Linked DNA regions of Elephas maximus indicus. The main gene of each other region encodes a partner of the protein of the gene in region 2 in a complex. Links are inferred from orthologs where the notes say so. Each region holds a gene or a part of one and is shown on either strand. Other genes may lie near its edges. The genes, in order: MED8, MED25 and MED18.

What was found.
Region 1: MED25 (region 2) and MED8 share a complex: the UniProt entries of both Homo sapiens proteins name them as parts of the mediator complex. The link is inferred for Elephas maximus indicus from reciprocal best matches to the Homo sapiens genes MED25 and MED8.
Region 3: MED25 (region 2) and MED18 share a complex: the UniProt entries of both Homo sapiens proteins name them as parts of the mediator complex. The link is inferred for Elephas maximus indicus from reciprocal best matches to the Homo sapiens genes MED25 and MED18.

Annotation. Positions count from the first base shown.
Region 1 is NC_064821.1:85,606,539-85,610,287, forward strand, and holds the start of MED8 (mediator of RNA polymerase II transcription subunit 8), read right to left. Parts: upstream 2,237-3,749; 5' UTR 2,165-2,236; coding exon 2,159-2,164; intron 262-2,158; coding exon 143-261; intron 1-142. Other genes in the region: KICSTOR complex protein SZT2, read left to right, coding at 2,367-2,393. UniProt on the Homo sapiens protein: Component of the Mediator complex, a coactivator involved in the regulated transcription of nearly all RNA polymerase II-dependent genes.
Region 2 is NC_064829.1:100,257,687-100,261,435, reverse strand, and holds the start of MED25 (mediator of RNA polymerase II transcription subunit 25), read right to left. Parts: upstream 2,266-3,749; 5' UTR 2,222-2,265; coding exon 2,088-2,221; intron 1,993-2,087; coding exon 1,947-1,992; intron 1,793-1,946; coding exon 1,668-1,792; intron 1-1,667. UniProt on the Homo sapiens protein: Component of the Mediator complex, a coactivator involved in the regulated transcription of nearly all RNA polymerase II-dependent genes.
Region 3 is NC_064821.1:68,790,891-68,794,639, reverse strand, and holds the start of MED18 (mediator of RNA polymerase II transcription subunit 18), read right to left. Parts: upstream 2,796-3,749; 5' UTR 2,690-2,795; exon of another isoform or gene 2,412-2,689; intron 1,873-2,411; 5' UTR 1,799-1,872; coding exon 1,726-1,798; intron 1-1,725. UniProt on the Homo sapiens protein: Component of the Mediator complex, a coactivator involved in the regulated transcription of nearly all RNA polymerase II-dependent genes.

The DNA.
Region 1 (3,749 bases), on a different chromosome or scaffold from region 2:
AATGTTAAGAAACCCAGCTCTTTCCAAATCAAAAGCTGTTTGCAAGCTGGTAAGTGGTTACATCACTGGAGACGTCCTACCTGCCAGAAGGCCTGTCCCTCCATGCAAAGAGCCCTCCCCAGCTTGTTCACACAACCCTTACCAGGTCAGCCGGTCATACTCGTTCTCCAGCTTATAAATGAAACTCCCCAGTGAGTTCTTCAAATCAGCTGCTTGACTCAGCAGTGCATCTAATGATGCCTCAAGTTGCTTCTCCTCCCTCTGCACCAATAGGAACAGGTTGGTTACCCAGGTGGATGTGAATATGACACACAAAGAAACAAACAAAAAAAACCATTGCCGTCGAGTCAACTCGGACTCAGCAACTCTACAGGACAGAGTAGAACTGTCCCATAGAGTTTCCAAGAAGCTCCTGGTGGATTTGAACTGCCGACCTTTGGGTTCGCAGTCGTAGCTCTTAACAACTACACCACTGGAAAGGAAGGTTGAAAAACCAAGGAGGACAGTGTGTAATACCTGTCAGGTAACATTGGATCTCACTGGCATAGGAGAGCCAGGCTTGGCATTTGGGTTACAGACAGCATCAACCCTAAACTTTTCAACTGGTTCACAGACCTCAGTTCCTCCAACCAGCTGATTCCTTCCTCTCATCACCACCTACTCCAGGCCTGATTTTTTTGTATTGTTGTTGTTGGGTGCCCTCGAGTAGATTCTGGCTCAAAGTGACCCCATGTGACAGAGAAGAACTGCCTCATAGGATTTTCTTGGCTGTAATTCTTACAGAAGCAGATTGCCAGGTATTTGTTCTGCAGAGCCGCTGGGTGGGTACGAACTGCCAACCTTTCGGTTAAGAGCTGAGCACTTAACTGTTGTGCCACCACAGCTCCTTTCTTTGTATTACCAAAACCAAACCCAAGCCCACTGCTGTCAGGTCGATTCCAACTCATAGTGACCCTGTAGGACAGAACAGAACTGCCCCATAGGGTAACCAAGGCTGTAAATTTTTTGCAGAAGCAGATTGCCACATCTTTCTCCCAAGAAGCAGCTGGTGAGTTTGAACCGTTGACATTTTGGTTAGCAGCCAAGTGCTTAACCACTGTGCCACATTCTTCCTCATTAAGAAATTTTTACTAAAACTAATGGCTGCGTGCGTTATCTTTTGTGAACCTCTGCAGCACATGTACCCCAGCTTCCTCTGTCCTCGAACCTACTTTGTGAGCCTGGCTATTCTTGCCAATGACACAATCTCTGGGAAATCTACCTACACGTGCAGCTTTCTCTGAATACCATTCCTGCCCTCCCCCCTTCCCCAAACTCTTCCTCTACCCACGACGTTTGATGTTTCTGAGCTCCTCCTCACAGAATTAATTTGCATTTATTTTGTTTATCTCTATGCCAATATCCCTGTGATTCTTTCACAAGCTCAGTCGACCTATATACATTTACCGAGAGACCGGCAGAAAGAAGAACCTAAGTGATAAATGAAAATTTAAAAAATGCACTGAGTCGGAATCGACTCGACGGCACTGGGTCTGGGTCTAAGCACTAGACAATTTGAAATGTTTGGGGTCCGGAAAGCATTTCCTCCCCATTTATGGGCTCCTGTTTTACTTTATTGTTTCACCTTTAACAGCTATGGGCCACAGACCGGGAAGAATGATGTAAAACCGTCTTGCAAACTCGCTAATGTGCCTGACGCGAGCTTTAACCATGGGTTCTACCCACGGCCTAATGATATAAACAGTTTAGCTTTCGGTCTCAGTGGTCACATAATTCCTTCACCCCTCAGGCCTCTCTCCAAAAGATCACAAAATCTCTACATCCAACAGCCTCCTAGGCCGGGGGCCTAAGCCAATCGCTCACTTGCTAGAGAAGTGTTCCATGGACTGCATCTCAGGCTCCTCATATTACAACCTAATCCTTCCCACACCCAAATCAGGGCTACTTCCTTCCGATTTAGCCACAGTCTCTCCTGTCAAATGGGCCCCGCCGCATCTCTCATCAACGGCACCCTCTCTTCGGCCGGCCTTGCGTTCCCTTCCCAGTCATCCGCGGGCTCTAACCCATCGTCTCAGCCCCAACTCCTCCTGGGCCAGTTCACTCTCCGTGCGGGTACCGGAAGCTCGTCGGCAGTCAACATGCCCAAGCTGATTCTCACCTGCATTGCGGTGGCACCGGTGGCGGGAATGACTTCCACTTCCGGTTCCCAAGTTAGCGAGCGGCTCTGGAATAGCCGCTTCCACCAATCAGAAAACTCTCACTCGGCCCTCCCACCCACTTCCGGTTCCTTTCGGGTGCCAAGGTAGCTGGGTCAGAGGTCAAGGGTGGAACCGCCTCCCGGCCCCAGCTTGCGCCGGAGGGCTGTGATGGCTTCGGAGCGCCCGGAGCCGGAGGTGAGGGGCGGGCGGCCGCAGTGTGGGCCTCGGGATCGGAGGGTGGTTCCGGCGGGCAGGCTCGGCTGAGGCCTGCAACGGGCCTGAGAGCGGCCGGGCTGTGTAGCCTTGGCAGGGACCGGCCCAGCCCCAGAGGCTTGAAAACCTAACCTCTCCGCGGTCCGAAGTTTCACCCGGGAGCTAGAGCAGAAATTTTTCGCTTTGTTTTTGTTTAGTGAAGTTTCATCCATTTCGCCGACTCTAGCGCTTTCAGGATTCTTTGTCCTAATAGTGGTATTATCAAAGCCTGGATCTTGGTGTTCGGTTGCTGTTTCAGTGGGCAAAATGGCAGTAGGCCGACTTCAGCATTTCTTTAAGCATTGGAATGCCATCAGAAGCATAAATTTAGTTCTAGCACTCATGCTTTTTGGAAAGGCGATTCTGGTTTGCGTGAAAGAACATTTGACTCGGAATGAGACCTCATTCCAGTATCGACCCTGCCATTTAGCTACCTGTGCAACCTCGGACAAGCCTTAACTTCTTTGATCCTGTAACTTTCTTTATTAAGTACCTACTTACCGTGTATTGTGAGAACCACGTGTATTAAACCAGAACATGTATATGAGGTATCCATTAGGTGTTAAGGACCACACAAGAAACTATATAGGCTGTGGCATTCAAACGTGCAGGGAAGGTGGCAATATCCATTCTCATCTACAGTTAAGGAAGCTGAGAAAGGAGAGGCATTAAGTACCTTGTTCAAGTGATACTCAGATGGGGAGTAGAGGAATTTTAGAAGACTTGAGCATACATCCTCTGCAATATGAAAAGAATACTACCACTAGAAGAAGTGCCCAGTATTACAAAAGAATATGCTTCGTAGATGAAAAGAGTGTCGGGTGTGTATGATATAAATAGTAGTCGTTATTACAGAATACTTAGGGCATGCCTGGCACTATTCTAAGCACTTTAAAGACGTTAGTTAATCCTCTCAACCTAAGACAGGGAGCAAAGGCCCTGAGATCGGAGGGTGCCTGTTTGAGAAATACTGAAGAGACTACTGTGATTAGAGAAGAAGCAAGTAAAAGAGAAATAGACTATACAATCAGGAAGGGAATATGGGGTTGAGTGTGGAACCTAGAGACTTAGTACAGAGGGGCCCCCAAATCTGCAAACCAAATAACAAGAAAGAGGCCAGGGCATAGAAACAAAGCCATTGCCCAGAACAATGGGACAGGGTATCTAAAAATAGCCTTTCAGAAGCAGCTGGAGAAAATCAGACCTAGGAATATGCGCAGAGCATCCACCTGTGGCTGCTGTGTGACCTTCCACCAGGGGCAGTGAGGGGCTACAGCCCTAGCCAGGGAATTGAACCCG
Region 2 (3,749 bases):
TGGTTAGACCCCAACTCATGGTGACACCGTACGTTACAGAGTAGAACTGCTCCACACGGATTTTCTTGGCTATAATCTGTCATCGATTCATTTAGTTATCAAAATGACCCTATGAAGTCGTGATAACCAGGCTCCAAGATAACCACGGACAATCCCCGCTCCTGGTATTCACGGCCTTGTGTAGTGCCCTCATTGGGTCTGAAAGGTTATACAGAGGTTTACTAGACGATCGAAGTATGAACTACATTCTGGGTATTCCTAGACAGTCAACGGGGCTGACTCGTGTGCCAAACAGAATTTGGCAGAAGTGACGGTACGTGATTTCTGACACTTTTTAGGCCTTGTGGCTCCCTCGTGATCTACGTTGGACTGCTCACTGTAGGGCAAACCAGCTGCCGTGCTGAGAAGATACTGAAGCAGCCATGTAAGGGAGCCATCTTGGAAGTGGTTCCTCCAGCCCCAGTTCAGCCTTCAAATGACTACAGCCCCAGCCAACATCTCAGCTACAACCTTATGAGAGACCCTGAACCAGAACCTCCCAGCTTGGCTGCTCCTATGTTCCTTGCTCACAGAAACTACATGAAATAATGTAATGAACATTCGTTGTTTGAAAACACTACATTCGGGGGTAATTTATTATAAAAAATCAAACTATTGCAGTTGAGTCAACTTCAACTCGTGGCGTCCCCAAACATTATAGAGTAGAACTGCCCCATAGGATTTTCTTGCCTGTAATCTTTATGGTATCAGATCACCAGACCTTTCTTCCGTGGTGCCACTGGGTGTGCTCAAACCACTAATATCCAGGTTAGTAGTTGAGCCCAAACCATTTGCACAACCCAGGGACCCTGATTCATTATGCAACAATGGCTAGGTACTACAACAAAAACTAACATAAGCATGATCAATGTCTCTGTTTTACAGATGGCCTACATCAAGCACAGCGGGAAAAGGGACTCCTGGGTCTGAGAGTTAGCTTGTAGTCTAACAGTATTCTAACCCAGGCTAACTCCAGAGTTTGCACTATGAACTATGAAAATCCACTCCAAACCACAGAAGGATCCACTTGGCCTAGCCCTGGGCCTCCTGCTATCAGGCTTCAATGTTGTTAGATGCTGTCCAGTAAATTCTAACTCTTAGTGACCCCATGTGACAGAGCAGAACTCCTGACAGGGTTTTCTAAGCTGTAATTTTTTTTTTTTTCCACTAATTTTGGGGGGAGCAGATTGCCAGGTCTTCCTCCCATGGAGCCACTGAGTAAGTTAAAAGTGCCAGCCTTTTGGTTAGCAGCCGAGTGCTTAACCATTGTGCCACTAGAGCCTCTTGACTTCAATGTACGCATCTGAAAAAGAGGCCTGGAGTAGACAGGAAACAGCGGGCAGTAAGGCAAGGGCACAGCTCAGTCACTGATGGAGTCTGAGGCAGATGCTAGAGCTCAACCAGACCTATCTCATCTGACTGGTTAAGTTTTTCCTGCTTTCAAACTGGATGACATACAGAACCTGCCACAGAAGTGACTTAGGGACAAAAACACACAAACGCCCTCACAGAGTCCTTTCAGCCACCCAGTGAGAGTGAATGGCTCCTGCAGCTCACACCCAAGCAACCATTCATTCACCCTTCCTCACAGGATTCCCCAAACTGCCCCAAGAAGGGAAGAAGCTCACTTAATGCCATCGAGCCAGGTGACAAACTCATAAGCGCTGCTGGTAGGAGCGTGACATTGTACGTAGGACTCGGGAGCACAGTCCACCGTGTTGAATACGACAAGGCTGTACTGGGTCCCCCCATACTGAGAGGAGAAGAGAAGAAACATTTAATCAGGGCCCCGCCCCCTCCTCCCTCGGACCCGGGAGTTTACGTCCCCGGGCCCCTCCTCCCTCAGAGCCCGGAGTCCCTGTCTCCCGGCCCCCTCCTCCCTCAGACCCCGCGGTCCCGAGACTCACGTCTCCACCAAAGTCCGTCTCCGCAGGAGGACCACCATTAAAATACCTGTCAGGGTCGGAAGTGAAAGGTCGGGGTCAGGCAAAAAGGTGAGGAAAACTAAAGTTGGAGGGCGGGGCCGCAGTCGCGGAAACCTCACTCACTCGATGGCCGGGAGCAGGTAGTGCTTGCGGAGGCCCTCGAAATAGGGCCCCAGGTTTGCCGTGCCTTCAATCACAAACACTACGTCGGCCACCAGGCCCCCGGCACGGGCCGGGCCCTCGGAACCGGGGACCATGCCCCGAGCAGCAGCCGCCACCGCCGCCGCAGCCGCCGCCACCTTCGCGGAATGGCCGGAAAAGCGCCTGCGCCGCGCGCGTCCCCGCGCGGGGCGGGCTCCCGCAGCTGCTGACGCCCCCGCGGCCATGTTTGTGCGGGGCATCCAGGACGCCTTTGCCCCATCTTTTTCCTTGCTTGTTCCCTCAGAATGGGAGACTCGGAAGAGGCTTAGTGAATTATTTCAGGAGCCTAATGCCGGAGATTGGATTATCGGCCGGGCCGAGGAGAGCTACACACATTCAAAGTGGCTATTCGCCGCCATCTTTGAGCGGGGCACCGCTGTTTACCACTCCGGTCAAAATCCGATTTGGCCAAGAGATTTGGTTGCTATGCAACTAGGCGGCACTTGTTTTCTAAAGGGAGATTAAGTTTCTATCTGGTGGATGGGGGGTTTGGGGAAAGGTCCAATCACATCGCTGGAAACAAGGTTGCTAGGCAATCATTTAAGGTTGCAGTCAACTTGGAAAGGAGTGCAGCTGTTACCCCCCGCCCCCCAAACTAATTCCAACTCAAGTAGAGGTTGGTAGGCAACACTTAATGGATGTTTTCTGGGAGAGGGCCCAGAAACTGACCAAAGACATAAATACATTCCAGGTGGATTAAAAATCTGAATAAATGAAACCATGAAAACATACGAAGTAAAACAGAAGCACACTGTGTAATCTTGAAAACTGGAAAAGAGTTTCATGGCAGGTGTCATGGACTGAACTGTGTCCCCCAAAAATACCTGTCGATTTAGCTGGGCCATAAGTCTCAGTATTGTGTGATTGTCCACCATTTTATGTGCTTTTCTTATGCGTTGTAAATCCTATCACTATGATGTAATATAAAATGGATTAGCAGCAGTTATATTGATGAGGTCTACAAGATTAGGTAGTGTCTTAAACCAATCTTTTTTGAGATATAAAAGAGAGAAGTGAGCAGAGAGACATGGGAGCCTCGTACCACCAAGAAACAAGTGCTGGGAGCAGAGGGCCTCAGGTTCGTGTGCTGAGATGCTCCCAAAGCAAGGGAAGACGATGAAAAGGACCTTCCTCCAGAGCTAACAGAGAAAGAAAGCTTTCCTCTGGAGCTGGCACCCTGAATTTGGGCTTCTAGCTTACTGGACTGTGAGAAAATAAACTTCTCTTTGTTAAAGCCATCCACTTGTGATATTTCTGTTATAGCAGCACTAGATGACCCAGAGAGCAGGCAAAACCAGAAAACTTAAATACTGATAAATTTGTCCACAAAAGACTCCATAACTAAATTGAAAGATAGACCATAAACTGGGAAAATATTTGTAACATGTGTATCGACAGAAATTTACTATGCACAAAAAAAATATTAGAATTTAAAAAAATAGAGATACTTTGTCATTTAAAACACGGGGAAGAGTCCGACCAGTCTTTTCAAAGAGAAAAATTAAAACGGGCCAGTAAGTATATGAAAACTCATCTCCACTAATTCAAAAGTGCTAACGGAAAGTCCAGGGACATAACAGTTTA
Region 3 (3,749 bases), on a different chromosome or scaffold from region 2:
TGACCCCATGTATTTCAGAGAAGAACTGTGCTCAGTAGTGTTTTCAACGGCTGTAATCTTACAGAAGTATATCACTAGGCCTTTCTTCTACAGAATTGCTGGGTGGATTCCAACTGCCAATTCTTAGGTTAGAAGTCAACCACAAACTATTTGTATCACCAGGGACCTCAAAAATTGATAGTGGGACTCAGATGACTAAATTTTTGGAAACAACAGTGTTGTAGGAAAAGAACGTGACCAGGTCTAAGTAATCACAGGATAGAAGATCCTTGGGAGCAGGGACTGGTATCCTGTATTTAGGGCAGGATCAGACATGCGTTTGTTCATTCCTCAAACATTTCAAGTATTTAATAAGTGTTGGTTCACTGAACATATAGATATTTAATACCATGCCAGGTACTGTGTTAGGCAGTTGAAGGCCCTTCCCCTCATGGAGATTAGTTTAGTGCAGGAAATAAAAAATAAATAAGTAAGGAAACAAACAAATATAAGGAAATAAAAGGGAGATGGCAGAGACAGCAACTGGTGGAGTGGGGAGGAGAGAAGGTCTCTCTGAGGGGGTGGAATGGTCAGAGAAGACCTCTTTATAAAGGGGTGACAACTGAGCTGAGACCCAAAGGATGAAAATTAGATGGTCATTTGAAGAGATATGAAAAAAGTATCTAGGGTGGATGGGTCATCAAGTAAAGGCACTGTCTTAGTTATCTACCACTGCTGTAACATAAATGCCACAAGTGGATGGCTTTAACAACGAGAAATTTATGCTCTCACAGTCTAGGAGGCTAGAAGACTGAATTCAGAGTGCTAGCTCCTTGTCATCAATCTTCTCCAGTCAAGGAGCTTCTCAGCACAGGGACCCCAGGTCCAAAGGATGTGCTATTTTCCTGACTCTTGTTTCTTGGTGGTATGAGGTCCTCACACCTCTCTGCTTGCTTCTCTCTTTTATATCTCAAAAGAGACTGACTTAAGATACAACCTAATCTTGTAGATTGAGTCCTGTCTCATTAACATAACTGCCTCTAATCTTGCCTCATTAACATCAGAGAGGTAGGATTTACAACACATAGGAAAATCACATCAGATGACAAAATGATGGACAATCACATAATACTGGGAATCATAGCCTAGCCAAGTTGACACACATTTTTGGGGGACACACTTCAATCCATAACAGGCACTGAGGCGGGAGACAGTCTGGTAAGTTCACCTGTCCCTATAATCATGACCTATTTGGAAATAGGCGGTTTCTTTTTTATGTTAATGAAATCATACCAGGGTAGGGTGGATCTTACACCTAATAACTTCTAACTTATAAAAAGATCAGAATGGACACAGAGATACACAGAGGGAGAAGACAAATGACATTTGAGGACCAGCTACAAGCAAAGGAATGTCAAGGGTCACCGACAGACACCAGGAACTAAGAGGCAGGTTGAAATAAGGAATCAATACAGCTGAGACCCTGATTTGGACTTTTAGCTTCAGAACTGTGAGAAAATAAATTTCTGTTCCTTAAAGCTACCACTTGTGGTACTTCTGATGACAGCAGTAGGTAACTAAGATGCTGCTTTAAATTTTCCATAATAAAATATTGGGACAAAAAATAGTTGTTGTCTACTGAGTGTCAGAAATTGTGTATGTCAGCTTTGTATAAGTTCCTCATCTCCAGGGAAGCTGAAGAAAAAAAGAGGAAGACAGGTAATCCAAGTTCCCTGGTTTACTTACCTTGAAGCAGGTACTCCATCATGTTAATGGTGCCCCCAGTGACAGGCATCATGGTGACTGGAGGTGCCTCCATGGTGTCTGTCTGATTAAGGTGAAGACCACAGAAGTGGACTCAGAGCCCTCAATCAGGTAAGGCACAGGATACACCTGGAGAAGAGTTAGACTTGTTTAAACATCAGAGAAGTGGAGAGACTGGCTTGAGTCACTGGCCTGGACATCAAAAGATTCATTCAAAACTTTCTGAGTAACTGTTACATGGCCAGGCACGGATACAGAAATATACAAAAAAGATCTGGTCATGGAGTTACAGCATAACGTTCTAGTGTCAAATTCTCAACTCTCCAAAAAGTTAGCTGGAAGTTAGAGGAAACCGTGGAACTCCTCACTCTGGGACTCAGTGTCTTCCTTATTAAATGGGACCATAATATCTAACTCCCAAGACTTTGTAGCGCAAACGACATGATGGGCATGCAATAAAATTCTGAAGAACTGAAAGACGATTTATGGGACCCTGTCTATAAAGACACGCAGCAAGTCAGTGGCGGAGCCCGGACCAGGCTAGAACCTAGGCTCTGCCTCTCTGAATACTGAAATCATCTTTTAAAGCGGGACGGAAAAAAGAGTGAAATTCTTTGAAGATGACAAAATAAAACCAAACCCACTGCGTGGAGTGTATTCCTACTCACAGCGACTCTATATGACAGAATAGAACTGCTTCATGGGGTTTCCAAGACCGCAAATCTTTACGGAAGCACACTGCTGCAGACTGCCACGTCTTTCTCCCGCCGAGCGGTTGGGGTGTTCCAACTGCCGACCTTTCCGGGAGCAGCAGAGAGCTTTAACCACGGCGCCACCAAGGCTCCTTTACCGGCTTCCAGGATACGTGCACACTTACACTAGAAACGCACCTCAGCGCGCACTATGCTTCTTCTAGCAAAGCCAGGAATTATATCCACCCGCGCACCTCGGAGCCTTTAAACTTTAGCGACAATTACACTCCAGCCCTCAGGTTACCCAAACCCGGAACGTCCACTGGCGCGCGCAACCATATTATCGCCCCCTCTCCCTACTTCCGGCAGTACAGAGGGAGTCGCGTAAACCTTGACACTACCGCTCCGCCACGTACGGGTGCCGAGAAGTCACGAAATCGTCCTCTTCGCGGCCCGGCAAGCAGAAGAGCAAGCGCGGATGCAGTGCTACTGTTTGGAAGATGGTGGCCTCCTTCGGTGCGTTTTCTTGGGGACTACCAGGAGCGTTGACGTCGTAGTCCGTCCTGCAGGAATTTTTTTTTTTTTTTTTAAAGTTTGACGACCTGAAGACGTTTTCGTATAGGAAATCTCTTGGAACTGGTAGGACTGAAGATTATGCCTAAACTTTGAACTCCTAACAGCGCTTCTTAGTGGGAAAAGAGGAGAGTGGAAGGGGAGAAAGTTATAAAACAGAGGCCTCTGTTGTGTACCTGAGGGTGAAAGGAGAAGGCGCCCTATACTGTTTAGCATAATGTTCTGCACAATTAGGGAGCTGAGTAATACACTCAATATTAGTTCACTTTAAGTATACCCAAGTTTAAAAATATAGGGAAACAGATAAAAGTTAAAAATATTTATTGAACACCGCTTGTGTGTGAAGCACTAAGGTGCAGGCAGAGCTGGGAGTTGGGTGAGACAAGGAGGCCCTCACCTAGAGCACAACATTTAAGAAGGTGCCCCCCAAAAAGTAATGAAGATAAATGATATTTTAATGAAATATTTTACAAAATTAGAAAAACCCATAATGAACAAAATATCAAAATTTAAAATTTGATCCTGACAGCAACCCTATGAACCAAATTCTATTATTATTATTATTACTGTCATTTTACAGGTGGGGAAACTCGAGCAACTGGATGTTCTGTAACTTACAAGTGGGTGGAGAGGCTGAGATACAAACCTAAGCAGCTGACTTTAGACCCCACCCTTTAAATTACTACACTATACTGCCACTTCTAGCTCTAGTTCTCCTGTTCTAACCTATATACAGTACCT